2 linked regions of the Caenorhabditis elegans genome follow. The protein of the gene in region 2 interacts with the protein of the main gene of each other region in a biochemical or structural test. Each region holds a gene or a part of one and is shown on either strand. Other genes may lie near its edges.

Region 1 (16,273 bases), on a different chromosome or scaffold from region 2:
CGAAACCCTGGAAAACCCCCAAAACCACTCTCATCTTCAAGAAAGGTGACCGTGAGAATTTGGAAAACTATAGGCCCATCTGCCTACTACCCGTACTCTACAAAGTATTCACTAAGTGTCTGCTGAATAGAATGCGAAGATCCCTTGATGAGGCTCAACCTGTCGAGCAGGCCGGATTCCGACGATCTTTCTCTACGATCGATCACATCCACTCGCTCCAAAGACTTCTTGAAGTCGGCAGAGAATACCAGATCCCACTGACACTTGTCTTCATATATTTCAAGAAGGCATTTGACAGTGTTGAACACCAGGCAATCTGGAAAAGTCTCGACGAGCAAGGTGCAGATGGAGCCTATATTGATCTACTGAAAGAGTGTTATAAAAATTGTACCACAAATTTTGCCCCATTCCACAGGCCAGTCACAGTACCAGTGACCAAAGGAGTTCGACAAGGAGATCCCATCTCTCCGAATCTCTTCTCCGCTTGCCTCGAACACGTTTTCCGAAAGCTTTCCTGGATTGAATTGAAAGGAGAAGCTGAGGATTACGATACGATCCCTGGAATGAGAGTGAATGGCAGAAATCTAACGAACCTTAGATTTGCTGACGATATTGTGCTCATCGCCAATCATCCGAATACTGCAAGCAAAATGCTCCAAGAACTCGTACAAAAATGCTCTGAAGTAGGTCTCGAGATCAATACTGGGAAGACGAAAGTCTTGCGAAACCGATTCGCTGACCCCAGTAAAGTCTACTTCGGTAGCCCTTCCCCCACCACCCAGCTCGACGACGTCGACGAGTACATCTACCTCGGTCGTCAAATCAACGCCCAAAACAACTTGATGCCGGAAATCCACCGAAGACGTCGAGCAGCCTGGGCTGCATTCAATGGAATCAAGAACACCACCGACTCCATCACCGACAAGAAGATTCGTGCGAATCTATTCGATTCAATCGTCCTTCCCGCTCTCACCTACGGTTCAGAAGCCTGGACATTCACCAAAGCTCTATCCGAACGAGTACGAATCACACATGCCTCCCTAGAAAGACGGCTTGTTGGGATAACACTCACCCAACAACGAGAGCGAGATCTCCATCGAGAAGACATTCGTACGTTGTCTCTAGTCAGGGATCCGCTCAATTTCGTGAAAAAGAGGAAGCTAGGATGGGCTGGACACGTTGCGAGAAGGAAAGACGGAAGATGGACCACGTTGATGACAGAATGGCGCCCATATGGATGGAAAAGGCCTGTTGGAAGGCCGCCGATGCGATGGACTGATTCGCTGCGAAAGGAGATCACCACTCGTGACGCAGACGGAGAAGTCATCACCCCCTGGTCCACTATAGCCAAGGACCGAAAACAATGGCTTGCTGTGATCCGCAGGAATACCACGAATTCCTGAAGAACGGATCGTCTAAGTATCTAAGTAAGTAAGTAAGTAATAAATAATATTATGCAGTTTACATTATAAATCATTCCAAACATATTGACATTGATTGTATTCTCTCCATAAACTTCAAAAAAGTTTCCTTGTAAACAAAATTTCATTTCCGGATTCACCCACGCACATGTTTGTGATAAATGAAAACTGTTTTTAAAATGAAGTTTCACGAGTTTTGTTACCAATTTCCAGAATGTGAAATAAAATAAAAACAGAAGAATGGTCAATAGGAAATATTTTTTAAAATTTTTTGTAACAAAACTGTTTCGAATGACAAGATATCGATAAATGAAATGACTTAAAAGTACTGCATAACATTCAGAAATCATGCCAACTCTTGAACCAATCATATCAATTCCAAGAGTAGATGATTCGTAAAACCATCCATCACTTATGAATATAGTGAAAGAGTATTGATATGTGTGAATGTCCTACAAAATATTATTTAAGTTAAGAATATTTAAATTACCTACTCACCACTGGTACAACTACGGTAAATACTGAGTAACAAATGTCTAATGTTGCAAAATATAGCAAAAGGTAACGATAATTGCCAAATTTGTTTTTTTTCTGTGAATATCAAGAAAACAAATATTGGATTTACAATGAAAGCAAGAAATGCAAAACATTTCGGAATGTAATGATGAGCCCAGTTAATATACATTACAGAGATAAACTGTCAGGTAAGTAAGAATAAAAGAACTCGCTTCTTTTTATATGCTCTCAGTATTTTCCTTAAAGGTTTCAATTTAGTATAGCATCCGGTTTTGTTATTGCAGTAATCCACAAACAGAAAACGATTTTATTCAAACGTAACTTAATTGGCCCCGTGGGTCCTATTAGGGGTGTCAATAAGTTCCGGTTCAAAATTCATAATTTTTTTCGTGGCAAATCAATTTTTCTGAAAATGTGGGAATTTATGTTATCAAACATGGTTTTTCATTTGACAATACATTAAAACACCCCATGTATCCTAGCTCGGAGTCACTTTTTTCAGGCATCTGCCCGATCTCGCTTCTTTTTTTTTTTTTGAGACTAATGTGTGTATTTTGATAAATTAAGTATACAATGTAAGAATAGAATAAATATTTAAAAAAATATTCGTTCAAAAAAAAAATTTTTTTCGAAGATCAAAAAAATACAAGCCACGGAAAAAGTTACGAGTTTTGACCCGGAACTTATTGACACCCCTAATATGTTCTGTTAAATTTGTATCTATGTATGTGGGGGGGGGGGGGGGTTTATTTCCTGCGAAGGGAAGGAATTTTCTGAAGATACATAATTCATTGTTGTCTTCTGAACATCCCAGATCTTGTAAAAGTTGAAACTCATAAATCCCCAACGGAGCCTGGAACTGACTAGACTTGTTATAAAATTAATTGCTTGGATGAACGTATCCATTTTTAAGTTTGAAATTTCAAGAAAAGATTAACAATGGAATCATTGATTAAGTTTTCGTCAGTTAAAAATCAATTGAGAGCACAATTTTTAGTAATATTTGTCTTTGATTTTTTGAAGAGAACACGTTTCCGGAGTGGAGGAAGACAGAGAATAATGGCCAATGGATCAAAAAATGGAAATGCTGAAAGTGCCAATACTTCAAGATAGTTAAATCCTCTGTAATATTTAAATTATAGCCAAATGAATCCGGATATCTTGATTTACCTTCCAAGATTAATGTTGAAAATTGGACTGAACCAACAAAGAATACATGGGGAAAAAATGACAAAAATCGGTATAATTGTCTGGACAATTAAAGCTTTAAGAAGAGCTTTTTGAATGGTTGTTGTGGTTTTACTCATATGTAACGTGTTTTCGGTCAGTTTGCTCATTGTCTAAATAATCAGAATTGAATTAAATTACTTCAGGATTTAACTAACCAAAAAGCCGAAGATTGCATATAAATCAATAGAAAATAATGAAATTCCTGCAACTGCTATCCAAGATCTTATGATAACGTCGTCTGATGCTTCCTAGAAACAAGATAATTGGTTCAATCTGTTGTGGTATGAAGCAGGGGTGTGCGGCAAATCTCAAAATTTGCCGAGCTCGGCAAATTCGGCAAATTCGGCAAATTTGCCGTGCTTAACAAACTCGGAAAAATTATATATTTTTTGATATTTTTTGGAGCATCAAAACTACTGAATTCTTAACACACCTCTGGTTTCTGAACAAGTTAGGTGTAGTGTGTCTGCTTAAACATCAAAATAACTCAATTTGTTGTCATTTTACTAAATTTTTGGCGAAAAAATCAACAGTTTTAGTCAAAATTGTACTGTCAAATTTTTGACGTGTGCGGCAAATTTCGAAATTTGCCGAGCTCGGCAAATTCGGCAAATCTACTTTTTTGAAATTTGCCGTGCTCGGCAAATTCGGCAAATTCGGCAAATTTGCCGCACACCCCTGGTGTGTATGTCCTGGAAGTTTTGACGATTTTCAGTTTTTGGGAAAATTGATCTTAGAAAGAACTATGAAGAGCAAAGGAAGAAGTTGTGAAAAAAAGACATTACTATTGGTACGACTATGGTCACAATGGAGTAGAATATGTTGAATAGTGCAAAAAATAGCAGAAGATATCGATAATGGCCAAACTTGTTTGATTTTTCCGTAAACAGCAAATACACAAAAATTGGATTTATTATAAATGCAAAGGAAGCAAAGATTTTTGGAATATAGTGATGAGCCCAGTTTATGTACATTTTGATGATGGAATGAAATGAGAAATGATGATGTGAAAACAATACACCTATAGTTTTTAGTTTTCTGTTTTAAAATCATGTGAGCTGACCCTAGAGATTTAAATATAAACTAGAATTCTACCGGAGGCCGAGGTTGGCAAGAACACAAGAGTCCTGAAGTTGGAAAATAAGTTTGATTAATTTCGGAACTTTATTTCATTTTGCCATTCCAATTTGTTCTCATCATTGACTCATTTGAATGATTATGAGCTGCAAATATCTAAATGTAAATTGATTCTTGAACAGTAAGTCAACCAACTTTGACACTTTCTGCCCGAAAAATGGTAAAACTAAAGCAAATAGTTAGGCAGTAGTATAAAAAGGTCTGTTCTCCTTTGTTCAAATTAAGAACTCGTCTATTCTTCTGATTATTTTAAAAATGAACGCTAAATTGTAAGTAGTTTTCAATAATTTTATAACTTTCAATGCAACCAATTTTCAGCCTTCTCTGTGTATTGGCTTTTGCCATGTGCTCAATTGTTCAAGAAACAAGTGCTCAATACTATGGTTACTCTTCATATTACCCAACATACTATGGAGGATATGGTCCCGGAGCATATAATGGATACTATGGTGGAGCTTATGGATACGGGGAATATGGATATTATGGAAAGAGAGAAGCTGGATTTGGCCCAACTCAGCAAACCAAATAATTCTGTGTTTCTCTATCTTTCAACCACAATAAATGGATAAACAACATTTTTAGTTTGCTTCTTAAATGAAAATTTATAATAGTTTGAGTACGAAACCGTAAAAGGTCACAAATCTGAACATTTTTTGACTGATCAACAGCGAGAACCACCTGCTTAATGGAATATAAATCTATAATTTTTGAGAAATATTTGCATATATTATATAGGTTCAACAGAAAATTAACAACAGAGGAGCTTTTCGAACAAAGAAAAGAGTCGATCTGAATTTTTTCAGTAAAAGTCTTTGCCACTTTCGAAGTCAAAAAATCACAGAACTTGCGTAAAATCCTAACTTTTTGCAGCTATTCAATTCGACGAAAATATGCCTAGCTATTTAATCTACTTTTTTAAATGACATGGGTTTGTAAAAGTTTGCTCACACACTCACAGAGCGTCTTTAGCTACGTGGCCTAAAAAATGTAAAAGCTCGGCCAACAATTTATTTTTGATTTGTCAAGTTAGATCTTTCTGAAACTTGCCAGCAATGACCTTGAAAGGGGCTTCTTTACTTAAAATGAGAACAATTTCGAGGAAATAATCTTTATTTATTGTATAAGGGTGACCGAGGGTTTTCATATCATGACGTGATAAAATCGCTCCGTTCTGCTGAAATTCAAAAATCGTCCCGCTGGCATTCACATCAAAAATTCTGATACCAAAAAAAAACAGGAGAGCAGGTGAAAATCAAAGATTGTCTTTATTCTTCATAAAGTTTTTCTTGTTCATTATTCAACCCAAGACATGATTTTAAAATTGGAGAAAACTCCAACGGATTCTTCTTATTTCTGGTTACCTGTTTATCTTTACAATGAACCCGATATTGTGAGAATTATAGTTTCAATAACTGAACTTATTTTTTATTTTTTCGCTTTTTATATTAACAGCGTTTGCCTCAAAGTGTACCTCAAAATACAATTGTTTCATTATAATTTTATAATTTTATCAATTCCAATGTTTGGACTTTGGTACGAGGCTATTATTGGGAAAATGATTGTAATGCTGTATAATTTAAAAATATTGAAAGTTATCGATCATGAAATATATTTTTTTGCTTTATATACAGCTGATACTGAAAAAATGTTAGTTGTCAAATCTATCAATGGACTTGAAATGTTGATTTTGTCTGGTTTTATTCAGTGGCATTACATATTTTCAATGCTTTTTGGTATTCTTGCAATTTGTATTGAAAGAATATTTGCTTCAATGTTGATAGAGTAAGTTTCAAGTATTAAATTGTAAATTAATGTACTCTATAATTATAACAAGTAATTAACATAATTCTAAAACGTTTTTAATAATTTCACACACGGAAAAGCGTTAATTTGTCAGAAAAAGAGATTTGAAACTAATTTTTCAGCAATTACGAAAAAAGTACACAAATTTGGATTCCTGTTGTACTCATTGCAATAACACAATTTTTTTCAATTACTGTTGCATTGGGAAATCTTTTTGAAATAATTGGAATACTCGCATTCAATGGTTTTTGGATATTCACTGGAGCAATATCAGTAATTGTAAGTTGATAGTGAGTAATTTTTGACGTTGGAAAGTTTGAATACTTTTTGCTAAAAAAACTGCATTCGTGTATTTTAAAAATTGTCTTCTACAATAGTTTGATGGTATTTTTTAAAAGAGAAGAAAATAAAATAAAAAAAGATTGAGTAGATAACATTTCAACAAATTCTGGCTACTATTTCCAGCTTCATCTTGTCATCAAGAAAATAAATAACGACTGGCAATGTGAAATGGAAAGCCCGAGACGAAAAAAGTTCTTCACTATTTCCCAAAGATTTCAAGTGAAGGAGAATTTACGTGCTCTACGAGTAAATTCAAATTTCATTTTTGAAATCAGTTATAATCTTCTTTTCAGGTTGGCAGGAGATTGGTTATATCAGTTATTGTGACTGTAGTTGTTTGTGGTGTTGGGATTATTGCGCTCATTCTTGAAGTGGTTCCACCATTTTTATGTCATTTTGTTGAAAACTGCATTTACCTGTGAGATTTTTATATTACAATACATCCACCTTTAATTTTTTCAGAAATCCATTCCTTATATGCACAGTCACAATGTACAGCACTCATGCGTGGAGAAATGAATTTACAAAATATTTTCCGTGTTGTCGGTATTTTGGAATTGCCAAAAAAGTGAAGATAGCAACAGTTCTGTCAATCGCGGATTCAAGAAAGAATACTGAAATTGAAACTCAAACTTACTTCAAAATGCTCAATGACTCTTGGGTTTAAATGTTAATCAATATTTATTCTTTTAATTTTTCCAGCGATTCATCAAAGTGTAAATGAAAGTAGAAATACACTTGTTTAATGAATACCAATTTTAAAGAACAATTAAACACGAATATAATTTTGTGATTTTATTTGTTGCGAGCACTGTACTGTACTTCATATCATAACAGATGGGTGCACACCAAAGTTATATAAATGTATTCACCGGCGACAAAAAACATGTAAACTTCACTACACCATCCATCAATTTCATGTTTGGTTGACAAGTAAACAACCAAAAAAAAACTATAAAAAGCTCCCTTCTAAAATGTCAATAAAGGACACTTTTTCCCGTCACCTTATTTTTCTCCTTTGTCTTCCCAAGCCGACTAAACAGGAACAATTTGCATAAATGGTGCTTTTGAAGAAGTACTTGAAACATCAAACAACAACTCAGATGACTTCATTTTCAGAGTTATGAAATAAAGAATTTTTGTGAATGATTGGGTCATGATGAGAATGATACAAGAATGCAATCATTCAAACTAGAAAAAAAACGAAAAGAGTACGGGAGACAATAAAAAAAATTTAAGAGCCGGTTGGAATCAGAGCACACATTTCAACGTGATGGTAAGTTAATCTGAAAATTGAAATTATTTTATCTTAAAAAGTATAACAATACGAACAAACAATACAATTTCAAACTTACCACAAGCACAAAATACAGAAATTCCTCCTTTGCTGGTTGATATTGTTCTATTTATTTTTATTGTTCCTCTTGTCCATCAAAGATACGTGCACGTTTACCCCGAAGTCCTTTCAAAGACATCATTGGCACTCGTTTGTGATAAGTTGGATCCCTCTTTCCGCGTAAACCACGAAGGCCCGGGAATGCGTAAGCTTCACCTTCAGAAGCTGATGATGGTCCACTTCGTTTGTATTGAGAAGGCCAGTATACTTGTGCCTGTAATTTGGATACTATACAGTTTATTACTGCTTCACTAGATTTACTTTTTGACTTTACGCGTGCGCTAAAAGTTTACTATTAAAAGTTGGCAAGGAGAAGAAATGCTAAAAACATCACCTCCGAAGTTAATTTTACTTTGAAAATGTTCAAATAAGTTATGTTATCTGATAAATTTCTGATCCGGAAGTAAAAATGAAATCATTTTTATTCTTATTTGTTGCAATAAGGTTCAGAAGAAAACGTAAATAGGAAAACGTTTTTGTCAAATCATATTTTTAGAGTTTTTTTAATAAAAAGAATCAACAAGTAATGAATTACATTGCATGTAATTTTTCATAATATTGAATTCTTGCTGCATTTTTTCAAAAATTTTCAATTTCCTATATTGACGAAGGTTTTTCTAGACCTCCCTCATTCCCGAAAAAGCTCCAAACCGCCCCCAAATCCTAAAGTGCTTCAAAGCAGAAAAACGAAATTTATACATTTCACAATTGGAGCGTAAACCGGGTTGAAGGAAATTTCCGGTTCCGCTTGTGTGCACCTACAAAAGTCAGTAGCACTTTATCTAATTTTTTGGTCCCTCAGGAGAATATCAAGAAGCAAATACAATAAATAGGAGGAGAATGGAAAATCAAATCTTTCAACTTATTGAATATTATTGAAGGTGGTGTCTGGGAGTATGAATTAAAAAAGTTAGACTTTAAGTTATTATAGAGTCATGAATAATTCATAATTTGATGTTTTCAATGCTTGAATGCAAAATTGAAGTTTTGATAGTTTAGGAAAACATGCAATGAACAATGCAATAAACAAATTACAATGCAATTATACTTATATAGTATTGATAATTGAAATTTTAATTAAACTCTCTCTGCAAACTGGTCCTATATTTTATTTATTTTATTTCAAAGAGGTCAGAAATTCAACTGACGAATTGAAAGAAACCCTTCAAAATAATCACGTTTTATGACTAACAGGATGTTTTTTTCAGACATGTAGACCATTAAGATAAAATAAGGAAATGAAGAAAAAGGAAATTAGGGAAACCCGGCAGTGTGAGACCTTTTTAAACAAAAGAACAAAGAATACTGATAATGTTTGTAATATGTGCTTTATGCCTAGGATGTCGATTTAATTGAACTACAAGGATTGGTTTGATTTTCATAATTTGCACTACATATTTACTTTATAGCCATTAGAAAATAAAATTTCATGGTACTCAATTTTCTGAGAAAAAAACGTTTGAATACACCTAACAAATTGACTGAGCCTGTAAAAATCTGACAAATTGAATTGCAGTTTTATTAAATTATTCACTTGTTATTTTCCAGAATCAGAGTTACAGACATTCTCAAAACAAAAAGAAAAGTTTAGTTAACTATTCGAGTTCTAGTATCTCCTAGGAGACTATTAAGTGAAAAGTTATGAATCACGTAATGTGCAAGCTTGCATTTGAGGTTTTAAATTTGATGAGCATTTTTTATTTAAATTTAACATTTTTGTTTTAATTTTTATGTTTCCACTTTTTGAAAAAAGTCAAATTATATATAAGTTGAATCAATTGAATTTCATATTGTAATGAAATAGGAAATATCTTAATTAGTGATATTTTCAATTTACATACTGCAAAATTTGCTATCATTCAGAAATCTATTTTCTAGCGTTTCTTTTGTGATTTTTTCTTTCAATGTTCCATTGATCACTTTTATATGATCTCTAAAAATATTTTAAGTTATTAGACTTTCCTATGACTACATCGTTCAGCCATCGTCCATCATCGCCCGATTCGTTTCGGATTTGATAAATGCTTTTTCATTTTCAATGTACGCACTTTTTTTTCGAGAATATAAGAAAAAATAGAAAAGATTGAGTGTTTGTCGGCAAGTTTTTTTGCGAATGTTACAGTAAATCCCGAAGGACTTCTCAACTTCTAGGCCAAATCATTCAAATAACTTACATCGTCAAAGTGTGTTTCGAATTGTGCTGTGGTGATGTGTACGAACAATAACAGAAGAAGACCCATCACAGAACATTTGGAGATCATGACGGCAGATGAATGGAAGAAGGCGTCGGAGGAAAAGACGACGTCCACAAAAAGTGAGAAGTAGGAGAAGGAGACTCTATTCTTCATCAACATAGCCCCGCCCACTTTCTGCGAGCAGTTTTTTAGGGGCGAGGCTTAAAAAGGCCAGGAAGAACTTGGGATTACTTGAATGAAGGAGGTGAATGAAAGGCTAAAAGGTTTGATATCATAGCATTAATTATCATTTGTTGTTTCCGATGGGCACACTTCCTAATTTGATCTTTATACTGACGTCAAGGAACATACACAACAGTTACCTTCAAAATTTTTATCTAAGATTTAAGAATAATCTTTGTTTTTATAAAATCTCTTATAGTAGAGCTAAGGAAAATGTGTCTGTCAATGCTTTAAAGTGACCATCACAATTTGAAAAAACTAATATAAAAATGTGATAGTAACTTCTTAGTTATTTGAATTAAGATAATTTAATTGATGAGTTCTCTGAAACGGGCGCGCACTCGACAACACATCGCAACACCTCAACGTACAAGAAATTTCTTAACCAAGTTCAGTCAAATTTCGGCGGTTTTTGAAAGTGAATTTTTGGCCATACCCAACTTTAACCAACTTGGCCTTGATAAGTTGATTGAGAAGTTGCGGCAAACCGACGAGCACTTATGGATGGGGCATCCCCGCGAGAAAAACTATATTTATTTTTGTTTTTTTGAATGCCGATGATCTTTTAAATAATAAAATGTTACTTGGAATAAAAATAAAGGAAATTGGCACAATGATGATATAGAAATCCTGAAGAACTTGAACCGAAAAGAGAAAATGAAATATCTATCCTACTAAACTAAGAAATTACAACGATTTCCATGGTTGATAATAAGTAGTCACGCCATCCTGAATAGGTACCTGTCCTCTGCTTACCTGCTTGACTACCTTCGTATTTTCCGTATTTGATTGCGCTTTAGTGCTTTGGCAGTAGGTACTCGTAGGCACGAGGCAGGCACTAGAGTAGTAAGCAGGAAGGCAATGATGTGCCAACCTAAATTTTTTTACCACCGTACACCATTTTCAGACAGGAATTCAAAATTATTTAGTTCTCGTTCTGTTTTCATGGGTTTTATTTCCCTTTTTCGTTTGTTTTTTCTAAGGATTTGAATTTTTCCAATGTGTCTTAGCGAGCACTTAAAATTTTGAGAATGATTTGAGCACAGTGGTTGTTGATTGATTGCTTAATCCTTCGTATTCATTTTATTGTCTATGAATGAAAGTTGGTGTGTTTTCGGAATAGTTGAATTTTAGCTCACCTAGGTTTCATATTTGAAATTTGACATTTTTTGAAAGCTAAACACTGGAACCAGACTAAAAGGTTCAACGACCATAAATCTTTTTGCACTTTTAAAAAGGTATAAATGTTTTCATTTCCTGTCCTCACGTCATCTAGACTGCTGAACAAAAATATTTAGTTATCTTCATTTCTTGAAATTTATTTAAAATCCGGAAATTATTGAAAAGTTTTTTCGGAGACCTTGTAATTTTCAAGATGTTTGACAAATCTTTAGACAATATAAAGTTAGACTCACTTCCCCCGAAACATTAAAATTATGAGCAACTTTTAGAATTGGCTCAATTTTTGTTAATTCAGCAGTCCCAACGAATAACTGAAATTTTATGAGCCGTAATGTTCAGTGTGAAATTTGAAGAATTTATTTTATAAGAATCAAACCCTGCATTTCCATAGACCAATACAGAGAGAATGATATCATTACTAATAACGAAGCCAATAAAATACTGTTCATCTTTTTGAAAATATTTTGTTTTATGTTAAGCACTTTCAGTAATCAAAATTCAGTCTCAAACTATGATAAAACCAAAAACAACACAGCACTGATTGATTTCACTAAATGAATATTTTCAAGGAAAAACGGCAACGACGGAATGTCAAAAGCGGAAATATTAATTCTAATTCACTGCTATTTTTTTAACTAAGAATATTGGATTAACTTTATTTGATTTTATTATACTTTGAGATTACACTGACTTTTACTGAAATGACTCATCAAAACACAGCAACTGTTGTCTAATACATTCCCGAGTAATGTGTCCCTGTGAGTACCCAATGATCTTTTGAGAAAATGGTTGATGGGCGGAGAGGAAAAAAACATAATAAAACAGACAAACCGAGACTCCGATTTTTCGTACATTAAATTCAATTTTGATAAGACTTATTGTCCATCTATGATAAGAGCCCAGTCGTCAACATCGCTCAAAAACTTCCAAAACTTCAAAAGCATTATTATTTTCCTTCTCGTTGATTTCTTGCCTTATAAATTCAATTTTCTAATTTTCACTGTTTCAGGGATGAACAAGTTGTTCGTCTTACTGATTGCCCTTCTCGGGCTTACCGCAGCCATGCGTGATCAGTCGATTGCAGTAAAGGGACGCCTTCTGTGTGGGAATGGACCAGCAGCCAATGTTCGTGTCAAGTTATGGGAAGAGGATACTGGTAAGGCATTTTTAATCGTTTTCCTTAATGTACGACAATTGTGGTTTTTCTTGAAAGTGCTATCAAACTATCCAAAGTTACTTGTTGATTGACTCTTTCAGTATCAAAATTTAGTTAGAGAAGAACCATTCCGTCGAATATTTTATGGTCAATCAATTCTATTTCAGGACCAGACCCGGATGATCTCCTTGACCAAGGTTATACCGATGCTAATGGTGAATTTAGTCTTCAAGGAGGTACTGCTGAGTTGACTCCAATTGATCCAGTATTCAAAGTGTACCACAAATGTGATGATTCGAAGCTCAAGGTGGGTGTTTGAAGTTTTTGAGCAAAAATAACTTTGAATGTTGTTGCAGCCAGGTGCTCGCAAGGTCAAACTCGCACTTCCGAAAAGCTACATCACTAGCGGAAAAGTGGCCAAGAAAACGTTTGACATCGGTGAGTGAAAGTGTCAGAAAGCAATATGGTTGAGTGATTTCACATGCGTCATTCACTTTCTTCAGGAGTGCTCAACCTCGAAACAGTTTTTGCTAAGGAAGAGCGTGAGCTTCTTGTATCCAGACGTCGCCGAGGGGGTTTCAATGCCGATTATATGGATCCAGATAACTCTGAGAAGGATCAAAGCAAAAGCAGTGAAGAATCAGAAGATAAAGAAAAGACTGTGGAAACTTTCTAGACATTAATCATTTTCTCAATACTGCACACAAGGGTTTCAGATAATATCTGAAAATCATTGGGCTTCATTTATTTTCTTTAACTGAAAACAATATGATATTATGATAATAAAATTATTGTTTTATAAAAGTGGATAAGATTATTATAATAGAAAGATAGATAACATTGTATTTGCAAGCTGGATGGGGGTTATTGCTTTTGAATATTTCTATGAAAAGTACATTTCGAAAACTGTAAAAGGAATTTGTGAATCGTTAGCCAATGTATTTTTAACCAAGTTCAACGACTACAAAAATGAAACATACATTTTTATTGGAAAATTAATAATGATATTTTTATTGAATTTAAGATACAGATTTCAATTTGAACTTATTGCAGTATCCTATGCATTTCATGACAAGTCCTCGCATGCAGATTTCACACTTCACGCAACCTCCTCTTTCTTCCCGAAACATTGTATTTCTGTGAAATTGTCATATCCCCTTTCACCTACCAATATCCTTTCAATTGTCTTTCTGTCACCATATTCTCTCAATTACCTTTCTTTCTCCGCTCATCGCTCAACTTTCTCTTACTGTTCGTTTCCAACGGGTAATTAGAGTCCACGAGACAGCGATGCGATTCCAGTTTGTCCACTTTCTTATAGGTCACCGATCTTTTGTCCGGCCAGCTTCAGCTAATATTCTACTACCTCTCTCATACCAGCTACTTGGGTATGGATCTTTTAAATGTGAAATGGATATTATTGTTATTGTTTCTGATATATCCAGGTACTTTTGTGAATTAATATAAACCGTAATCTTTCTTTTATTCTTGCATTTCCAATTGATCTACTTTGACAGTTCTCGGTTGAATATTTTCTTTAATTTTATCAAATATTTTCCACAGAAAAAATATTCTCAAAATGACGTAGAGCCATGGTATGCAAGACTAAAAATTCGTAGCATAAATGACCATCATAGTTTTTTTTTTTCAGTTTACACTGAAATCTCATCCTCTTCTGACTTGAATTGTGACTTTACGACAACTTGTCGTTGGAGAAACTCATCCGATGTTGGTGGACATTTTGAAACGACTTCGCTTCTTGAAGCCGATGCTCAAAACCGAATAATGCCCATTGATGAAAATAATCGTAAGTCTTCATACTTTCTCATGATATTTGTCTTCTAGAAAAGATTACCTTCTAAGAATTGTCATTCATTGCAAAAAATTGAGCTCAAGAATTAGATATTAATGAATTACACGAAAGTCTTCCTTTACTAATTCTGATTTTACTTCTTTTTTTTAAAAAGTGATTTCTCATCAGGATCATAAAATTAACATTGGCAATTAAGACAATTTCAGCGAAACCATTTGCATTTACTGCGGGATTGATGGGACGAATGATGGCTCTTCTCGTTTCCGAGGTATATTTTGTGATATATTTTCCAAAAAGCTATAGCGTTTTAGGTAATAACCTGTCAACTTGGAGGTGCAAGTTTAAAATACTGGTATTACAAAACTGGTTTGGATTCACAACTAGAAGTTTGTATCCGTCAGCCTCCAGGAAATAAAGACTTGAGCCAGATGAGGTGAGAACCAATTGTTTTACTTTTAATTTGAAATAACTCCGAAGTTTCATCAGTTCTGTGCACTATAAACTTTGTATTGGATTCAAAATATGTAATAGACTAGATCATTTTTTGTTTGTTTTCTTGGTTTTCTGTCATGTGCTATCACAAATTTCGTTATTTTTTGTTGGAGTATTTACCAAAAAGTATCTTTTCTATTTGATTGAACTGAATCTAAAAATAAAGTAGACAGTGCTAATAATAAGTGTTAAAATATCTTCATCTTTTGATCATTGCAACAGTTCACCTAAAGAACAGCGTATAGCAGATTAGTAAATTATTAGTAGCTAGTAGTAGTTAGTAGTAAATCAGTAGTAAAATAGTAAGTATAGTAACTATAGTAAAAAGTATAGTAAATTGATAATATTTTACGGTTAATTCATAATTATTTAGATGCTACGATGGAGTTTCCACCTTTGGGAAACAATGGATATTCCGTGCCGTTGAACTTCCCCCAATTGCTCAACCCTTCGAAATTGTTTTCAAAACTATATATTCTCCACCAAGCTCGGTCATTGCTCTGGATAATATTGTATTCGAGGCAACACTTTGCGGTTAGTATCTGAATGTTTAATTTATTGATTTTTCTGTTGCCCACTATTTAGGGTACGGTCGTAATCGACGTGAAATTCGACGAATTGGTTACCACGATTGGCAATCTTACCGATCTTCTAATTTATACAACGGAGAGTTGATGCTAATTGTCGCTCAGGATGGTGCAGATAAATTGAATACTTCAATTGCTAGTAGTACTTCAACAACTACAACTACAACTGATATTCCCTTAGAACTTGAAGCTAAGATATCAATTTTGAGTAGTACAACTGCCCCAACTACTACAGCACAAGTTTTAACTACTACAACAAGTAGCGAACCAAGTACAACAACGACTCCGCCGACAACTACACAAACTTCATCTTCTAATCAAACTTCGACAATATCAAATGAGCAGCAATTTGCTAATTTTGTCAATTTCTTGAAGCAAACAGCTCCAGTTATTCCGTATATCCCAACTCTAGTTAGATCTTTAACTGCATTGGATCCGAGATCTTCTCCATCTGAGAATATTTTACCGCCTGGGACACTACCATCAAATCCAGCTCCAATTGATGTGAGAAGAAGTCCAGTGGCTTCTTCTCATTTCTACAACACCAATCAACCAACATTAGTCACTGATAATGATCAAGAAAACCAGAAAACGTTAGTAGATCTTGCCAAAAAGTTCGGATTATGGGAAGAAAGCTCGCCATATTTGACTACAACTCACCCTCCTATTGCTCGAAATACAGACAACACAAATAGTTTTGGGCTACCAAACAAGTTCCCAGAAGGATCAATATATCCCCCCAACTTGATGAATAAGAAGAAAATAAATATTAATCCGATTA
Region 2 (17,586 bases):
AAATGCGCGTGATGGTGTACTTGCGTACATCGGCAACACATTTGACGACATATCAGAAAGCGGCGCTAAATTAGAAGTTGAGAGCGCGCGAAAAAACAACGCGTTAACCGCCAAGTTTCACTTCCCCACAGAGATTCTCGAGTCATTGTTCAAGTTTATTTGTTTTTCAGCGGTTGTTTTATTGAAAAATTGTAAAATTTTAAACAAAATGTGTAATAGTCTATTAAACCTCGTGAGATATTTGAAGAAACTTTCCCCGTTTTAAATATTTCGTGTATTCGTGCAGATCCGCGTGAAATTTTTGTCTGTTTGCGTAAAATTCCTCTATTTTTTTATTTTTGCTCGCAATTTTCGATTTATTTCAGAAGTTTCCACATTCGCAAAACGAATGGACGTCTCTTATTATGATGGCCCTAAGGATGAAGTCATCGAAGCAATGCTGAAAAGCGCGGTGACGGCCATGAAATTGGGACAATACGAGGATGGAAAAGGACGCTTAGAGGACACAATGGAGTTCGGAACCTCCAATTTTCAACTGCTTGGTACAATCTACATGTATTACGGAAGAGTGTGCAGGCATTTGAACCACGACGCCAAGGCCTTGGAGTTTTTCGAACATGAGTTGAACATGTTCAAGTAAGTGAATTAAACGGAAATGGGCTGGGCATTCTATAACTTTAATTTTTCAGATTGATCTTCAACTACCCAGAAGCATGTGATTCCACACGTCGCATCGTCCAGCAGGCACTCAAAATGGAAAAGTTCTCCAAGGCTCGACGGTTTGCTGAGGATCTCATTGATTACACCAGCAATAAGAAGAACGGAGAGAAGTATATCGGTCAAGCTCGAATTTTGTTCGCTTCCGTGTGCCTCGAAGGATGTGAAAGAGACGTCGAGAGTAATCAAGATGAGAAGAAGAAGCTTTTGTCAATATGTGCTGAACAGATTGCAGCCGTGAAATTGTTCAACGAGAATAATACGGAAGGAGCTGTGTCTGAGACCAAAATTATGCTAATTGAGGCGAAATGCTTGTCACTCGACGAAAAATACGAGGAATCGCGTCGCAAGTATCAAGAATGCATCGATTTTGCCATCAAAACAGACCAGTTTGAAGCAGTTCACATCGCCTATTACGACAAGGCTCTCTATGCTGAGACATATCTTCTTTTCTTTATTATCAGAGATCTCAGGTAATTTTTAGTTTTAACGATTAATAAAAATGTCAATTCTATTTTTACAGAAGTGCTCTCTTCTACGCCACGAAATTCGGAAAAGAGCGAGATGTAGTCAAATATAAGTCGAAGCTATCCGAAGAGATGCTGAGAAATGGCGAATTCCACGAAGCATATCTCTACGGATTGGAAGCGCTTGTATCGATTCGGAAGCTTGGATTGAACGAACACATTGGAGATGTGTTGCTTACAATCGCAAAGTGTCTCATTGCACTTGGAAAAAGACGCCAAGCTGCTTATTTTATCATCTTGGGGAGTGTTCTGACCATCAACCAAAGCAGTTTCAAACTGTTCTACGAGCAGATCGACGTGGCGATGAATCAAGAGAGAAGCGAAACGGCAACTGATCAAGATGCATGCCTCGCAATTGATTCGTCTCCTGATCCGACATCCTCGAATGACATGATTAATAAGTTCGTCGTCAAACTGGAGCACGCAACAAATGTTGAAACCTGGGAAATGATTGTCAACGGAATCATTGAAGACCAGAAGAAACCAGTAGCGATCGAAAAGAAAGAGAACGAGGAACCCGTAGACATGATGGATCTCATTTTCAGTATGAGCTCGCGTATGGATGATCAGAGAACTGAACTGTCTGCTGCCAGATTCATTCCGCGTAAGAAATATTACAAATAAGCGTAAATGTATGCAAATTTATATTTTTCCAGCTCGTCCAGTGTCATCGGCATCGAAAAAGACTACAAAGAGCCACAGAATTCTCCCTGGACTCCGTGCCAATTGGACAAAAGTGCAGTCGATGAAGTTCGATGGTCACACAATGAATAGGATCCTGAAGAGGTCGAAGAAAAGCAAATCGTCATTGGATTCTACAAATTCGATACAGGGCGATGATACTCGAAGCGATGATGTGACAATGACGTCCAAATAGGACCATTATTTTTTCTGTCAAATAATACAATCAAACTTTATTTATTTTTTACTTTCTTTAAGTAAATGTTATTATTATTTTAGTGGTTGTTCTTTATTATAATTTTATTTTATTTGATGGTCAGTAAAGCTAATTTTTTTCAATTAGCGATATCCGTCAAGTCATACTTTTATAGAACTTTGTTATTCTCTCTGAACTTCCCCACGTGCCCTCCCAACGTCATTTCAAAAGCTCATGGTTAGTGACCTCGGAATCCGGAAGATATCGAAAGTAAAGAGACGCAGAGAGATGGAGACTGCCAGCGTCCGAGGGAACGAGCGCCATTCTCCTGCATCCTTTCGTATTCTTCAGTTTTTAGGCGAAACCTAGACCCGAAATGATTTATGTTTTTTCTCCTATTAAAAATACTTTTGAGCGGCTAAATATGATATTACTTGAAATACGTGAACAATTTTTTTGAACGCTCAAATCTCCGACATTGGAGGGCGTAAAGTTTGCAATTCTTAAAACTGTCGTATCGGGTTACCTTTTCTTTTCTCTGACACACTTTTCTTTATTTTTTCATTCAATTGCGTTAGTCTTTTCCTTCTATAAATACTTTTCTTTCAAAAAATATCAGAATCTTGATGGGAAAATGCTCTTCCCATCATATTTGGTCATTTTCGCTGACCGTCTTATCAATAGAAACACGAAATTTCGGAGTATAAGAAGTGTGGTAATCGGTCAGCTTAAAAGAAAATTTGTTTTAGGTAAATATAAACGCGTGATTCCACTGAAAACATGTAATTTGGAGGCGGTGCTCTTTGAATTATGCCTACGCTCTTTACCCAACATTGTAAATATTATTAACTGGTCAGGCACTTTACACAAATCTCTTAATATTTTCACGAAAGTATGGTGATTTTTTCCAATTATAAAATTCCCTTTCTGTTATTCCATTTTTCTACCAGCTTCATCACATTGCATCACTTTTGCGCGCTAGCCGTGCTCCAAATAACCGCCCTCTGTTTCTCATGTGTCTCACCGCGCCTTCTGTTTTTTCTTCTTATTCTGTTTTAGCGAGAAGCAGTTATCTCAAACAACGTCATCTGAGTTTCACCCTCTTGTTGTCCAAGTAGTGAAATCCGATTTTCAACGAATTTCAATTAGTCCTGAGAGCTCTTGAGTTGGCCTGCCGCTTGGGCGGCTCTTCCTTTACGTTGCCGCATTTCTTATCTTCTTCACCACATTATATGTTTGATCGAGGAACATATTTCAATTATTTTTGTTATCACTTGAATTTTCTGATTTTTTGTTTTCAGGCTGTCAGTCGGTTCCCAGCGGATTCGTCGATATACGAAAAATAGTGAGAAGCTCTCGACGACGAGCCAATAATTATGGAAGGGGCTACTACCAAACCGAGTGAGTTGATCGTAAAGTAAAAACCACTTAGTTTTTTTTGGAAAAAACGTAGAAACTATGAAGACCAAATACAATTTAAAATTTTGAACACATACACCGGATCTGTGCGGCAAATTAAAATGTATAAAAAGTTATTTCCATCCGAAAATAATATTTAATTTTGTTGAAAAGCTTGAGAAAAATCTCAAATGGCACCTGAAAGTTGCCGTTTGCCGTTAATAGTTTTTAAAACAATTTTTCGGTAAATTGCAACTTTCAGGTACTATTCGAAGCCTTTTCAAAAATTTTAACAAGATTAAATGTTATTTAGCCCTGACAGGCACCCGAAATTGATAGTTTGGTCGTGACTCTCCAAACTGTTCTGAAGTTTGCAGACGAATGATTTATTAATGATCGACTTTCGGAGAGTGTAACAGATACCAGAAGAAAACCGAAAAAAGTTCATAAAAGAAAAAAAAAGAAGAAAAGATAAATGATTAAACGCTTTTTTGCAGGGCTGGTGCCATCCACGCGTTTTGCGTTGTCCTTGGTCATGTTTTTTGGATGTCTTGTCACCTACATGATGCGTACGAATATGTCGTTCGCAGTTGTTTGTATGGTTAATGAGAATAAGACGGACACAGGAGTGGAGAAGGTCTCTCGTTGTGGAAAGGAAATGACACCTGTGGAGAGCAACAGCTCGGTAGGGTTTATTCAGTGATGAAAAAAAACAATTTGAAAACCGAATGATAAAGAATCATGCAACTTTTTTTAGGTGATTGGAGAATTCGATTGGGACAAGCAAACAACTGGAATGGTTCTTTCATCGTTTTTCTATGGATACATTGGAAGTCAAATTATCGGAGGACATCTAGCTTCACGTTACGGAGGAAAGCGAGTAGTATTCGTGACGATTCTTGGATCTGCGCTCCTTACACTGCTAAATCCTGTCGCTGCCAGAACATCTGAATATGCTCTGGCTATTCTTCGTGCCGCAATCGGATTTCTTCAAGGAGCAACATTCCCTGCAATGCACACAATGTGGTCTGTATGGGGACCACCTCTGGAATTATCTGTCTTAACTGGAGTTACATATGCTGGCGCTCAAATCGGAAATGTAATTGTACTTCCACTCTCTGGATTCCTCTGCGAGTACGGATTTGATGGTGGCTGGCCGTCGATCTTCTACATCATTGGAGTTTTCGGTGTTCTCTGGACTGCTGTTTGGTGGTATGTTAGCTCTGACAAACCAGCTACCCATCCTCGAATTACACCTGAAGAAAAACAATACATCGTAACAGCCGTCGAGGCTTCAATGGGAAAAGATACTGGAAAAGTGCCATCAACTCCATGGATCAAAATTCTAACTTCTCCTGCAGTATGGGCTTGCTGGGCTGGACATTTTGCCGGTGATTGGGGAGCATACACGATGCTTGTATCTCTTCCATCATTCTTAAAGGATGTCCTTGGATTGAATCTTTCATCTGTAAGTTCAATGCTGAAATAAAAAAAGGTTCATAATATTTATTCATTTTTCAGCTTGGCGCCGTTGCTTCCATTCCATACATTGCATACTTTTTGGCTATTAATGCAGGTGGAGTCCTTGCTGACACACTACGATCAAAGGGAATCCTCTCAACATTGAACACCAGAAGAGCTGCTATGCTGGTTGCTCTCATCGGACAGGGAATTTTCCTCGTGGCTTCAGGTTACTGTGGATGTGGACAAGATGTAAGCTAAAATTATTTTAAATGATAAATTTCAATATCTTGGTTTCAGGTCCTCGTCATAATCTTCATTACCTGCGGTATGGCTATTTCTGGCCTTCAGTATGCTGGATTTGTCGTGAACTACCTCGAAATCGCCCCACCATTCTCTGGAACAGTGATGGGAACTGGAAATACTATCTCCGCACTTGCTGGTATCATTTCACCAGCTGTCAGCAGCTACTTGACACCTAATGTAAGATAAGAAAATTAGAACAAACATTCAAGTTTCAAATGCCAATTTTAGGGTACTCAAGAAGAATGGCAAATGGTTCTATGGTTGACTGCTGGAATTTTGACAATTGGAGCTCTGTTGTTCTCAATCTTTGCATCTGGAGAAGTACAACCATGGGCTAAGCTGACCGCCGAAGAAGGCCATGAGATGGCTCCACTTAGAGAAGGAGAAAAGATTGAATTGGCAACCGCCTAATCATCATTTTTAAATATTTTAATCTCTCTCTGTTCTATTTAGGCTCTTGTTTTATTACAACCTGCATCATTATATGTCTTTGAAACCAATCGAGCTTTATTTTTTTGTACCACTACCAAAGATTTCACTTTCGTTTCAGTATTTATTAAGATTTTATCCAAAGTTACAAACGTTGATATACAAAAATATCATAAGCTATGATTCAGCAAAAAATAAACACGTTTCAATCACCGTTCATGGCAACTCAGAAGATGTACTTTTGAATATTTCTTCGTATTTTTCTCGGAATGCATCACACAAACCAAATCTGGAAGTGTAGAATATCAGATGTTTGTATTGAGAGATTATTTTACAAACCTTGAGAAGAATTCTCTTTGACTTTTTTATCCAAACAGGAAGAGTTCACTCTTCCTTTTTGCAAAGAAATAGCCATACTTCTCATTTTATCCGGGAATAATTGTGAATATTCATATTGTTCCTTTTTGCAGTCAATCACTGGAATCCATCGGAAGACGTACCGGAAGCCAATGCGGAATCTGAACATTTTTACAAATAATTAACATTTTTTAATGATATTCATTAGTGCTACCTTTCGTTGGCAAAACAATAAATAATTGGATTGTATGCACAACTAGACATTGCAATCCAGTAAATCAACAAATACGCATATTTTCCACGAGCTGCATCGAAGAATTCTTCAAGAGCGAATGCGTGATAAATGTGGTATGGAAGCCAGCAGACAACGAATGCAACGACCATTAGGAAGAGCATTTTTACTGCCTAAAGAATTTAAAATTAATTATTTCCCAAATGATGGTTCATTTTAAACATGTGGGTTCAAAGAATTTCAGATTTTGATCGATTTTTCCGTATTCTAACACTTACTATTACCTGGACGCAACATTTTCCAATTCTTGCGGCAAGAATACGGTACCAGGTCTCGACACGACATATTTCTGTTAAGTGCAAAGGGTGTGCGTATTTAAAGAGTACTGTAATTCAATACTTTTGTTGCTCCGGATTTTCATTGATTTTTTGATAGTTTAAAAAAACGAAATACTTTTCAAAAAATCTATGAAAACTCAGCAGCAATGATAGTTTCAAATTACAGTACTGTTTAAAGGCGCACGCCTTTTTGCGTTAAACTAATATGTGTCGTGTCGAGACCGGGAACCGTATTTTTTCAGTTAGGAAATATACCTTGCTCTTTGCGCGTGTGTGATTGTTCTTCAGACTACTGTCAGTGGCTTCATTTGTTGCTCGAAATGCAACGGCAATCCGTGTGAACGTTGATCCCAAAATGATTATAGGTAGAGCATATTGAATCCCAAAGAGCACTTTTTCAAAGCTGAAAAAAATTAAATTCATTCCCAATTCGACTTCAGATCTCTTACAAAGTATTAACTGGTGCTGAACAAACGTGAGCTTTTGAAACAGTTGATGTAACCACGTCATATGTGTAGAGAGAGTTGACCTGAAAAAAGAAGAAGAAGAATAATGATAAATTCTAATTTGCTTTGAATAGATGAACTTACAGATGCAGCAATTGCAAACGGAAGTGCAGTAACCGTTGAAACAACCCAAATGATGAGAATAGCAATGACGGATCTTTTTCGAGATAGTGGACGTTTTTGTAGAGGATTCACGACTGCTTGACATCTGAAATTTTGACTAATGATCTTTGTGCAAAGGGAAATAAACTCAAAAATTTCAAAAGAACCTACCTATCCCAGCTGAGAGCCATCATTGAGCACACGGATACGGTAGTTGGTGCAATACCGAAGAAGGAAGTAAGTGTACATAGATCACCATACCACCAGTCATAGTATAAATTATAGGTCCATGAAGTACCAACATTGAAGAGAGCAATCAAAAGATCAGCGAATGCCATATTGAAAAGAAAATAGTTGAAGCCGTAGTGCATTACTTTGTGTTGATAAATTATCCACATCACGACAGAGTTTCCAATTATTGCAGTTGCCATCAGAAGGACAAATGCAATTGCCACAAATACTTGAGTTGCTCTGAAATTATTTTTATTGGATTTCTAAATTTCAATTATTTATTTAATTAAAACATATTGTTGTTAAATAAATCAATAAATACGTAATATGTACTCAATTAAAAAATATTTTATTTGAACCTACACGTAAAGATAAAAAATAATCATCCCCCAGAGTTTTCGATTCAGTTTTCAATTTGTTTCCGATTCAATTGCAGCGATAAGGAAAAGTTATGGATTCGACCATGACCAATTACATGGGGTAAGCTCTTGAAATCTCTCATTGCTGTACATAATTGATTGTTTTCAGTCAAGAGAATCTTCCTCCTGCATTGAAGCTAATCAATGATAAGAGTTATCAATATTCGACACATAAGCATAATATTGAAACTTCTAACGGTAAGTTATCAGGTCTGAGAATGTGCTAGAAAACAGCCCAGTGATTCGTAAAATGACAACGCTAATTGCTCATGATTTTTGTAAATTCGAAATTTGCTTCCGTTCCTTAGATTTGGGGTTTCAAGCTTGAAAAAGTAGGCTTAGGTTTTCCGGTTTATAAATTTGGGTGTAGGCTTTCTGTCGTGATAATATATACCAAAGATAAATGCCTAATTTCGAAATAGGAAAATTAGCGCTTGGCTTTCAGGCTTACCTCTCGTTATATGATATAGGTTCAGTTGGACATGTAAATAAAATGAAAGAGCAAAAAGTGATGTCTATTTACGTTCCTGTTAGCATTCCCACTTCTCTCCACTCAAACCTTTAAACTATTTCAGATGGAACTCTTCACTCATACACCATCGTCCTTTCACGTGAACCACTGGAATCTCCGACATCTTACAACAAATATCAGAAAAACGTGGAACCCGTTCAAAAGGAGAACCAAAAGCCGAAGGATCTGAACAAGATGACTGCAGGACCACATATTGCTGTCAAGAATTCATCCGGTCTTGTCAGTCAGATCAGTAGTACTACATCGAGCGAGAGGAAAAGACGTACTCTGGCCAGACCGTCGAGTTCTTCGGAGAGTGATTTGAAAGTCGGAAATATTCAACAATCGAATCAGTATTTTACTCTTCCGTCGGTAATGAAGCCATCTGCACTTTCTACGGAAGATCCAAAGAAGGTGATTGTTCAATCGAATACTTCTTCTTCATCCATGTCTGATGCTTCTTCTAAGAAAAGTCTTCCGACTTATACATACTTATCGGGACATACGACAGGATCTGCTAGATACGTTACAATGGTTAATGTCAAGTTTCTGCTTCTTCATTGTGATGTACTCCAAAGACGGTTTGCTAGAAGTTAGTGAAAAGTTGTATAAATTACTTTTTCAGTGCTCAGTCCATGTTTACTGACGAGTTTCCCTCGGACTGTCGTTTGGAAGAAGTTGTTATCAACTTCCATCAACTCTGTTGTCGCCAGTAAGTTTTTATTTTCTGGGTTTTTAAATCTGATTTTTATAGAAATTTCAGACTTCTTGATCAAAACTTCAATCCTCGTCTGTCGTATTGTATCGGAGAGCTCAACTACTCGGATTCCAAGCCAGTCTCAGCAAATGACATGAGCAAGACTTTGGCTCAATTGGCTACTACACAATCGATTGCTCAATTGTCAATCATTGTGGATGTTACTGAGAAGAATATGAAGTTGAAGTGAGACTATGGGAACTACAGTGAATATGTGAATGAAGATTTTGTGATGATTGTTTTTTTCAAAAACAATAAATGTCAAAGAACGTTGTTTTTACCTTAACTCATCAAGGATGTAGTTTTCATGTCAGACGTCAGAAACATTTTAAGAATTCAAATATCTGACCAGGGCTCACTGAATCTTTTAGACATTTCAATAGGGCTAGTGATCAAACAAGTAACAGATATGATGTAAGACTAAGTTATTCTATGTACTTACAATGATTCTCTGGAACTTGGAGCACAGAAGAATATTCCCTCGAGTTCAGCAGGGAGAGTAAGATTTTCAGCATTTTTACACGCACGCTCGCCAAGTTGAATTAAGAATTCTTGATTCATTGCGTCTGAAATTATTTATATACTATTTGAAAGCTTGAAAATAGTTTGAAAATAAAAAAGAGTCTGAAAAAAGCAAAGTTATATAAAGGAAATGAATACGGAAATTTTGCAAATAGGGGAAATTGAATTATAAGGGTTTTAAAACAAAGAATTTGTGAAAAGCTCAAATGTTTGCAGAAAGGTGAGATGATGAAGAGCAAGGTGTTTGGTGTCTATGCTCAGAATTTGGTGATTGTGGCGGCGGCTGAGAAGGGGAAGGTTGTAACCACAAATAATTCAACAAACTGAGCCTTGAATCACGAATTCAGGAATAGGTTCTCCTCTTGGAATACCAAGAAGTCAAGCGAATGAAGTCAGCAAAATTTTGAGAACTGGGCTGAGAAAATTGCAAGTCGAAGAAAAACAAAATTGATTAATAGGGAGAAAATGAAACCTAATTTGATAAAATGATTGTTTTCATGAATCGTAGAAATTATTCAGAAATAACTTTTGTTTTGAGACAGACAATATGGGTACATTCAAATTTGTCTCGAGAGTTCATTTTAAATGTCAAATAGTCCGGCAACTTTCCATAGTGCCACTGAAAAATATGCGACAAGTTATATAAGATTTCAGAAGTCAAAATAAAAAAAGTAAGTGAAAAAAAACAATTTAGAACCTCGGGGGGAGGTCTGATAAGTGCAGCATAAACGAAAATAGATTCATGTCACGTTATAACTTAGTGATCCGAAGTGGTTGTAGTTCTATATTCTTTATCCTAATGCTTTTTATGGAATACAGTCAGGTCACTAGGCACACATCATACCTGCCTGTCTATGGGACTGCCTATGTAGATTTGAGAATTTCTAATTTGCATTTTTCTGGTAAACGAATTTGACAGCAAAGTAGAAGCTTAGGTGAATTGAAAGAACGTACTGCGCAGTGTTTGCGATTCTATTTTTTTTTAATGTGGGGTAGGCACAAGGCAGGCGAAGGCCGTTTTAGACATGTGTCCAGAGATAAAACATTATTAGGTGTTCTACCAGAAACATTTTCAAATTTATTTTGATTAAAATCTGCTCCAAGTGTTGTGAAAACTGAATTTAACTTTAAAAAATACGGATACTTTTCAGTAACCGCTTAAGTTTAGCTGGTGGAAAACGAAATAATAGTACTTAAATTTCAGAAAAAAACAAGTCCAACATGACTCTGTAGGAATTTCAATTTTCTGAAGTTCTATGAATTTTTTTTGTATCAGAATTCATTTTGAATTGAATAAATAAAAAAGGCAGAGAGAAAAAAAAACACATTTCAACAGCACGCTCCAAAAATGACGTAAATAGGTAGAATTTACTACGAATTGAAAGCATATTTGTCTGAAAAACTGAGAGCTCTCCAACTTGTACTAGTAAATTTGAAAATATCTGAACTCAGATAATTTAGACGCTTTTCTGTAATTTCTTAGGCGTTTCAAAAAGTTTTGCAGACGGAAGGTTTGTCATTTTTACCAATTATACAAAAACTCAAACTAAATGGAAGTTTATGAAAGTTTCCAGAGCTTCTCAGAACACTTCCGAAATTTCCTAGAGTTTTTCTCCAATATTCAGAAATTTGCGGAACCTTTCAAAAGAGACCAGAAGCTTATGAAGCTTTTCCAGAAAAAACCAAGACATTTTCAAAATTGAGATTCTACACTTCTATAGTACCCTTAAAATTTAACTAAAACACAGACTTCAAACTACAATTGTAACAGATCCTATGATTGATTTAAAAATATTCTTCCTTGCCGGTCAAAAAAGTGATCAAATGTCAAAAGGAAGTTGTAATGAGATCTGTGACATCACATAGATCCAACAGAAGAGTACTCTAATTCATTAGGTTCGAAAAGACGGATATTTGGAGGTGGAGCCTGATTCATTATTCTCTCATTTCCGCCTCCATCGTCGTTCTGTCAATCTTTAGTTTTTCTAAAATAGTTTTCAGAAAGTTAGACAAAGGACGACGGTGGTGGTGGTGGAGCCGAGAATTTACATAGAGAAGCAGATGAGAAAAGAAAAAGCGGATTCAGAGTCCGTATCTCATAATTATTGGTTATATTATATCCTCTTCTGGTATCAAAACAAGAATGTGACAAAGAGAGGAATGCTGTCGTTGTTTCTGAAAAAGGAAGAGAAAGAAAAAAAAACGAATTTAAAGGAAAAACAAATTGGAACAAAATAAATGGGACCCAGGTGGGGCTGATAAAGGGTATTTAGGGGAAAACGGCGAAAAAAAAATCTGAAATGAAATATTTGAAAGAAGCTGAATCGTGTTTCATCGAGCAGGTACACAACTAACACTGCAAAAAACACTGGAAAAAAAAATCTAAGAATCACAAATTCTTTGAAAAAATTAGCTGTTATACTCGCTTATTAAAAGTTGTTTCTTCACTAAATACAGGTTTAAAAAATGCAACTTGCGAGGAAAGTTTTGGGAAAGTTGATCTTCTAAATTTAGTATGTTTTGTGAATTTGGGAACACTGCATGTTTTTTTAAATTGAGTTGGGTTTAAAAAATTCCAGATTTTTTCCACGAAAAACAAAGATCGAAAGTGGTTTTGAATATTCAAAATTCAAAGTGCTCCTCTGCTGTCATTTTTAGGTCTTCATTAATAATATACTTTTTCCAATGATAAAAGCTACATCTTAAAGCGCAGGAGTGATCTCAAACATTTTCTTTGTCACGTACGTAGATAGGTACAAATATTCTCGAAATTTTAAATACAGAAGAAGAAGAGGATAGTTCGAAGAACAACGACGAACAACGGCACAATGGACACAACGACTGAAAAGATGAGCATTCTTTTTCTTGTTCGGACCATTTCTCGTGCTTCTTAGAAGTGTTAGAAATAGGAAACTTACAAGGAGTAAGGGGAACGCGAAATACGAGACATTATGCATAACTTATAGAATAAGAGACTAAAATAAAGTTAAGTTGGTTGGAATTATAGAGATATGAAAAATACAATAAAAACTGCTTGATTGCTTTGCTATTCATTTTGATAGGTTATATCTCGGTATATTTTGAAAATATCATTTCAATATAACTTTAAAACGGTAGAAAAATAAAATAAATGTAACTAATTGTAAGATATAAGCTGACAAAGTTTAAGAATGGGGTGCAATAATAAAGAAAATACGTTAAGTAATAACTGGAAAACTACCAGATTCAGACGACATATCCATAACATGTTCCTCACAAGTATCTTGAAATTTTTGATGCTCAAAGTCAACAGCCACGCCAACAAAACCAGTACTTGAACCAATTCTGTGGGTGTGGCCATATTTTTCACCGCCTTTTTTCGAACCTCCCACAAAGATCTGCCCTTGTTCTGGAGTTCTTTTCCGGATAAATGAATTTTCAGAATTTTTTAGGCCTCACGAAAATAGGCTATTTACTACGATTTTCCAAATTACTTATTGAATAAACTTATTATATATTCACAGAAAATTTCTGCACGAATTCCAAAGTTCACCCTTTTCGAAAATTACAACAAAGTTCATAAATATTTTTCCAAAAGCTACTACCAAAACACCATAATTTTGTTTTCCTAGATCCCGTTGGATGTACTTTCAAAATTTTTTTACTTCGAACAGAAAATAAATTTTCCCGGACACCGAATCATAATATTTGCCATGCTCTAAAACAAAGAAATGAAAAATTCCAAAAAATAATTAGTGAAAATTCAGTGGAAATTATACACAGAATTACCATTTTGATTACAAACCCAATGAATATATTATTATTATTTTGATCCAACAGGGGTTTCAGTTTCCGTTGAAAATAGGAAGCGAGGATTCTAATTTTGAATTTCTTCTACGTAATTATTTCAATTCATAATTTGAAACCTCGAGTTCCAAAAACTCTTTATTATAATCAAGATCTTTCTTTTTCCGCCCTTTTCCAAGAATAGAGCCATATTTTATGAATTCAAAAGACCAAACAACTGTGGGTGAGAAAAATGGAAACTCTTTTTGAATCAATTGGTTTCCAATTGGAATGTGATGGCCCCAGGCGGTCCAATTAGATCTCATACGGCAAATATGTGTACTCGTCTAAATTTCCGAATGTTTCAAGGATATTTAGTACTGAAAACATTGAGCTTACTCAAAAAAGGTTCATATCAAATGCCTTATAATGTCAATTAGAATGGAGAAGTTTGGAAACTTGAACTTTCGAACTTTTGACCACAAACTTTTTGAATTGAACATTTAAAAAACGTGTTGAAGGTAGAGAATTTTTTTAACCTTTCCCAAATAAAAGCTTGAAATTAAAAAAAAAACTTTTTTTATTTGCTGTCAAAGAAAGGCCAATACTTTTTTGCCAATTTACTAGAATTTTCAAGAAATTTTTTTTACCTGAATTTTTTTCGGTTATTTTGGATTATTATAAGTGTACATATTTAGACAAAATCCTTAGATTACGAACTGAAAATTTTTTAAAAATTCACCGGAATCAAGAAATCTGAAAATTACAGATATTGTAACCCGGAACTTACGATTACTGTTTCTAACACAACCTAAAAACATCGAATAAGCCGTCAGAGCCGCCAATGTTTAAAAATTCGAAAAAAAAAACAAACTAATCATCACGAAACTTATTAGTTAAAACATTGATGAATATATATATACAGAGAACACCAAAAAAAACCAAAAATTGAAAACACCCGAAAAATTAAAAATCTGAGAAAAAAAGTTGTCAGAAGTGAGCACTAGCCGAGCATAATTTGATTGATAGAAAACAATTCGAGCCCTTGACAGGAATTTTTAAAAGCCACAGAGTTTTGAAGTTAAAAGTTTTTTAAGTTTTATCACCTCGGAAAATGTTCTACAGTAATCTCAAAGACGCATAATCAGAAAGTTTATTTTTCTTTCGAATGAATTAGAGACCAACCCGCATAACTTCTCTTAAAAGTCGCTGTAAACGGCACAAATACACACACAATACGAAGAATAGTGTAGTAGACCAAAAATTTCACTAATTTCCAAAAAACGCATAAGAAATTTCGGTGAATTTCGATCCCCTCGTCAGACAAAAACAGGGTGATATGTCAAGTATTCGACAGTTTTTTAGAATGCTCCAAAAAAAAACAATGTGCATATGACGTGGCTTGGATACAACAAGAAAACAATCTTGAGGGGACGGACGGATTCGTGTGACAAGAATAACAAGGAAAAAGGGATGGAAATCCGGTGTCACTCAACTTGAGAGAAATCTTTTTGATAGTACAAGAGAGTCATAAAAAGGGAAAAAGGGAGGATATATCTCCCCAAACAAACTCATTTCAGCGATTGGAATAAATGTACTAGAAGATGAAGAGGGTTTGAAAAGAAGGCGGGCAATTAATTGGAGTATAAATTCCAAGGGATCATTCTTGCCAAATAGTGTTAATCAAACTTAAATGAGTGCAATCGCGCTTCACCGGCAAAGATAAAACCGTAAATTTGAACAATTATATTTATTGTAGTTCCACTAAATTTTGATTGTATAAAAATAATTTAAAATTTAGAAAAATCAACGAATTCATAAAATATTAACTTCCTGTCTATTCTCAAAACTAGAGTGAAAACTTTAAAAAATCTAACCAATAGTACTAGTACAAGGGGAGAATCATAAAAGAATAAAGAAATAAAAAAATCCATATCTCATTCCATCAATTGGAATACTAAAAACTCATTCTTCAGATTCACACCTGACTGATTTCAGACTAAAAATGAGATCAGAGAGCATGATCTTCCGATTCACATATTTCAAACAGGGGCGGAAGTCGTGAATCTCCGAAAAATAAGATGCACATACACATACTAATTTGATTCTGACACTAAATATATAGGCACATATGACGATGGGGGTGGATTGAAAGAAAGGAAAAATTAATTTCATGTCACTTTTCTGTTGTTTTTTTTGCTGCAGTTAATAAGAACAAGCACAGACGAGCTTTTTAATCTCTTTGAATTTTTCCACACCTACTTTTAAAACGGATCACACCACGATGAAAAATTCGATGTATGATCGACGGAAAAAATAAAAGGATGTGCTCATTGAAATTCCACGTGGGAATACGGGAGTGCAAAACACGGACCAACAACAAAGTGTTTAGTGGTCGAACAAGTGAGATTCAGCGAAAAAAACAACCTTTTCCTTCTGTTATTAGCATTTTGGTTTATTAGGAATTTCCTGGATTTGTTTTTCACACCACGTTTCAATTTCAGTTTAAGATCAAAAATTTCTCATAAATTTCAAAGACCGAGACATTATCAAAATGAGGGTTAGAGTTTAAGGGGGTTTGAATTATGTCTTCCCTGCAGGCTCGGCCGCGTGTCTCATGCCGCTTCGGGCCTCTGTATAGCAAATTTTCGAGAAAAAAAGTAAATTTTTCCAACGGTTCCATGTCGTAGTGGCCTTTTCAGTTTAAAAAAAAGGTACTCTATTTTTAACAATTAGGTCGTTTGTTCCGAGACTTCAAGTTGGTTAATGTATACATGTATTTTCAGTTGGAAAGAACTCAAATTTTTTAAATATATATACCATTTGGCTAAATTGTGTCTTAATTGATGTAAATACGTCAAAATTCTAAAATATGCAAAACGAGAATGATTGAATAAAAGTTAATTTCGGTCCGTTACGACAAGAACAAATTGACAAAAATCAAAATAATTGCCAGATTGATTTTGATTTTTTTTTCGAAAATTTGAACCGCCCTAAAAAAGTTTTCGATAAGTTTTCTCATCATAAAACATGGTAGTTTTATTCCAGATCTCTACTCTTGTTTTAAAGTTGAAAGAAAATAGGGCTAAAATGAAAACTAAATCGAAAACAACAATACCCAAAGCACGGAAAACAACGTAATGTTTTTTGGTATTCAACCAACTATTTCCGGCAAAAAAAGAAAACGAACATCATCCCTAAAGGAATATATTGAATACAGACAAAAATAAATCAGGATCCACGGAGCCACACCTTTGACGTCTTTTACGGAATCAAAAAAAGCAGGGTGGGGTCAAAATTGAATTATTAATACGTCTGCGATTATAATAGAATTTCGGAAAAAGTTGGAGAGCTCGCTTCCCGCGATCAGTGTACGCACGAATTTTATATTCGATGACTAACTAAACTTTGAAATCAAATAACTTCGCTTTGCTTGTAACTTATTAACAATTCGGTAAGATTTTACGCGTGAGGTGAGTCTATAACTTTAATAAAACTTGAATCGGATAGCTCGGCGTTTGCAGTCAATTTTTTACAAATTTTTTTCTCTAGAAATAAGCTTGAGTTAAAAAGACTTGGATGAGGGAGTTCGCTTTGAAATCTCTGATTTGGTTTTAGTCTGGCCTGTGCAAAAAGCTGAAAACAGTTTAGTACGGATCTGGAAATTCTCAGTAGGGACCACATCGGTAAAATGGATGAATAGTTGCTAAAATGTTCTAACAACCTCTACGCCAATAAATTCGAAAATTAAATTAAATTTAAAACATGCTTGAACATTTTTTATTGAATTGTAAAATTAAAATTTTTTTGGTATTATAAAAATGATAACACATTTATAAATTGGACGCTTGCAAAAACAGAGTTTAGCAAAAAATGTTTTCAGCAAAGTTGTCAGCATTCTCAAAATGAGCAAATTAGAAAGTGCTCATCACGTTTGTGTGACATCTGAAGTAGAAGCAAAGTTTCAGAAGAGGTCAGAAATTACAAGAAGGTGTAGTGGATGATGAAGCTTGAGTCATATATTCCACGCAAGAGCAGTCAAGTGTTCATTGAATGATGTAAAGATGGAAACAATAGAACTCTGATCCAAGCGAGATGAATGTGAAAAACTAGAGTGGATAATATATATCT

Evidence for each region.
Region 1: the proteins of tkr-1 (region 2) and nlp-58 interact in a test that uses a peptide from one of them, tested with the Caenorhabditis elegans proteins (one large-scale study listed by BioGRID).

What each region holds. Positions count from the first base shown.
Region 1 is NC_003283.11:9,938,780-9,955,052, forward strand, and holds nlp-58 (Neuropeptide-Like Protein), read right to left. Parts: upstream 10,162-16,273; 5' UTR 10,107-10,161; coding exon 10,020-10,106; intron 8,060-10,019; coding exon 7,862-8,059; 3' UTR 7,805-7,861; intron 7,736-7,804; 3' UTR 7,542-7,735; downstream 1-7,541. Other genes in the region: fipr-12 (FIP (Fungus-Induced Protein) Related), read left to right, coding at 4,560-4,573, 4,623-4,833; sre-28 (Serpentine Receptor, class E (Epsilon)), read left to right, coding at 5,614-6,086, 6,230-6,386, 6,573-6,695, 6,743-6,867, 6,912-7,116; ttr-46 (Transthyretin-like protein 46), read left to right, coding at 12,456-12,600, 12,768-12,907, 12,957-13,038, 13,104-13,276; mam-5 (MAM domain-containing protein), read left to right, coding at 13,991-14,045, 14,252-14,407, 14,620-14,681, 14,725-14,846, 15,279-15,439, 15,491-16,273.
Region 2 is NC_003281.10:9,375,944-9,393,529, reverse strand, and holds tkr-1 (putative G-protein coupled receptor tkr-1), read right to left. Parts: upstream 9,735-17,586; 5' UTR 9,730-9,734; coding exon 9,611-9,729; intron 9,408-9,610; exon of another isoform or gene 9,359-9,407; coding exon of another isoform or gene 9,175-9,358; intron 9,124-9,174; coding exon of another isoform or gene 9,037-9,123; intron 8,993-9,036; coding exon of another isoform or gene 8,476-8,992; intron 8,099-8,475; coding exon of another isoform or gene 8,010-8,098; intron 7,962-8,009; coding exon of another isoform or gene 7,933-7,961; exon of another isoform or gene 7,887-7,932; intron 7,722-7,886; coding exon 7,422-7,721; intron 7,357-7,421; coding exon 7,233-7,356; intron 7,172-7,232; coding exon 7,092-7,171; intron 7,046-7,091; coding exon 6,898-7,045; intron 6,478-6,897; coding exon 6,287-6,477; intron 6,234-6,286; coding exon 6,055-6,233; intron 6,005-6,054; coding exon 5,925-6,004; 3' UTR 5,826-5,924; downstream 1-5,825. Other genes in the region: gpr-2 (G-protein regulator 2), read left to right, coding at 389-636, 690-1,190, 1,241-1,848, 1,901-2,121; putative transporter slc-17.2, read left to right, coding at 3,498-3,522, 4,017-4,204, 4,277-4,987, 5,041-5,232, 5,281-5,463, 5,515-5,697; C38C10.3 (uncharacterized protein), read left to right, coding at 7,933-7,961, 8,010-8,098, 8,476-8,992, 9,037-9,123, 9,175-9,358. UniProt on the Caenorhabditis elegans protein: Not known. Putative receptor.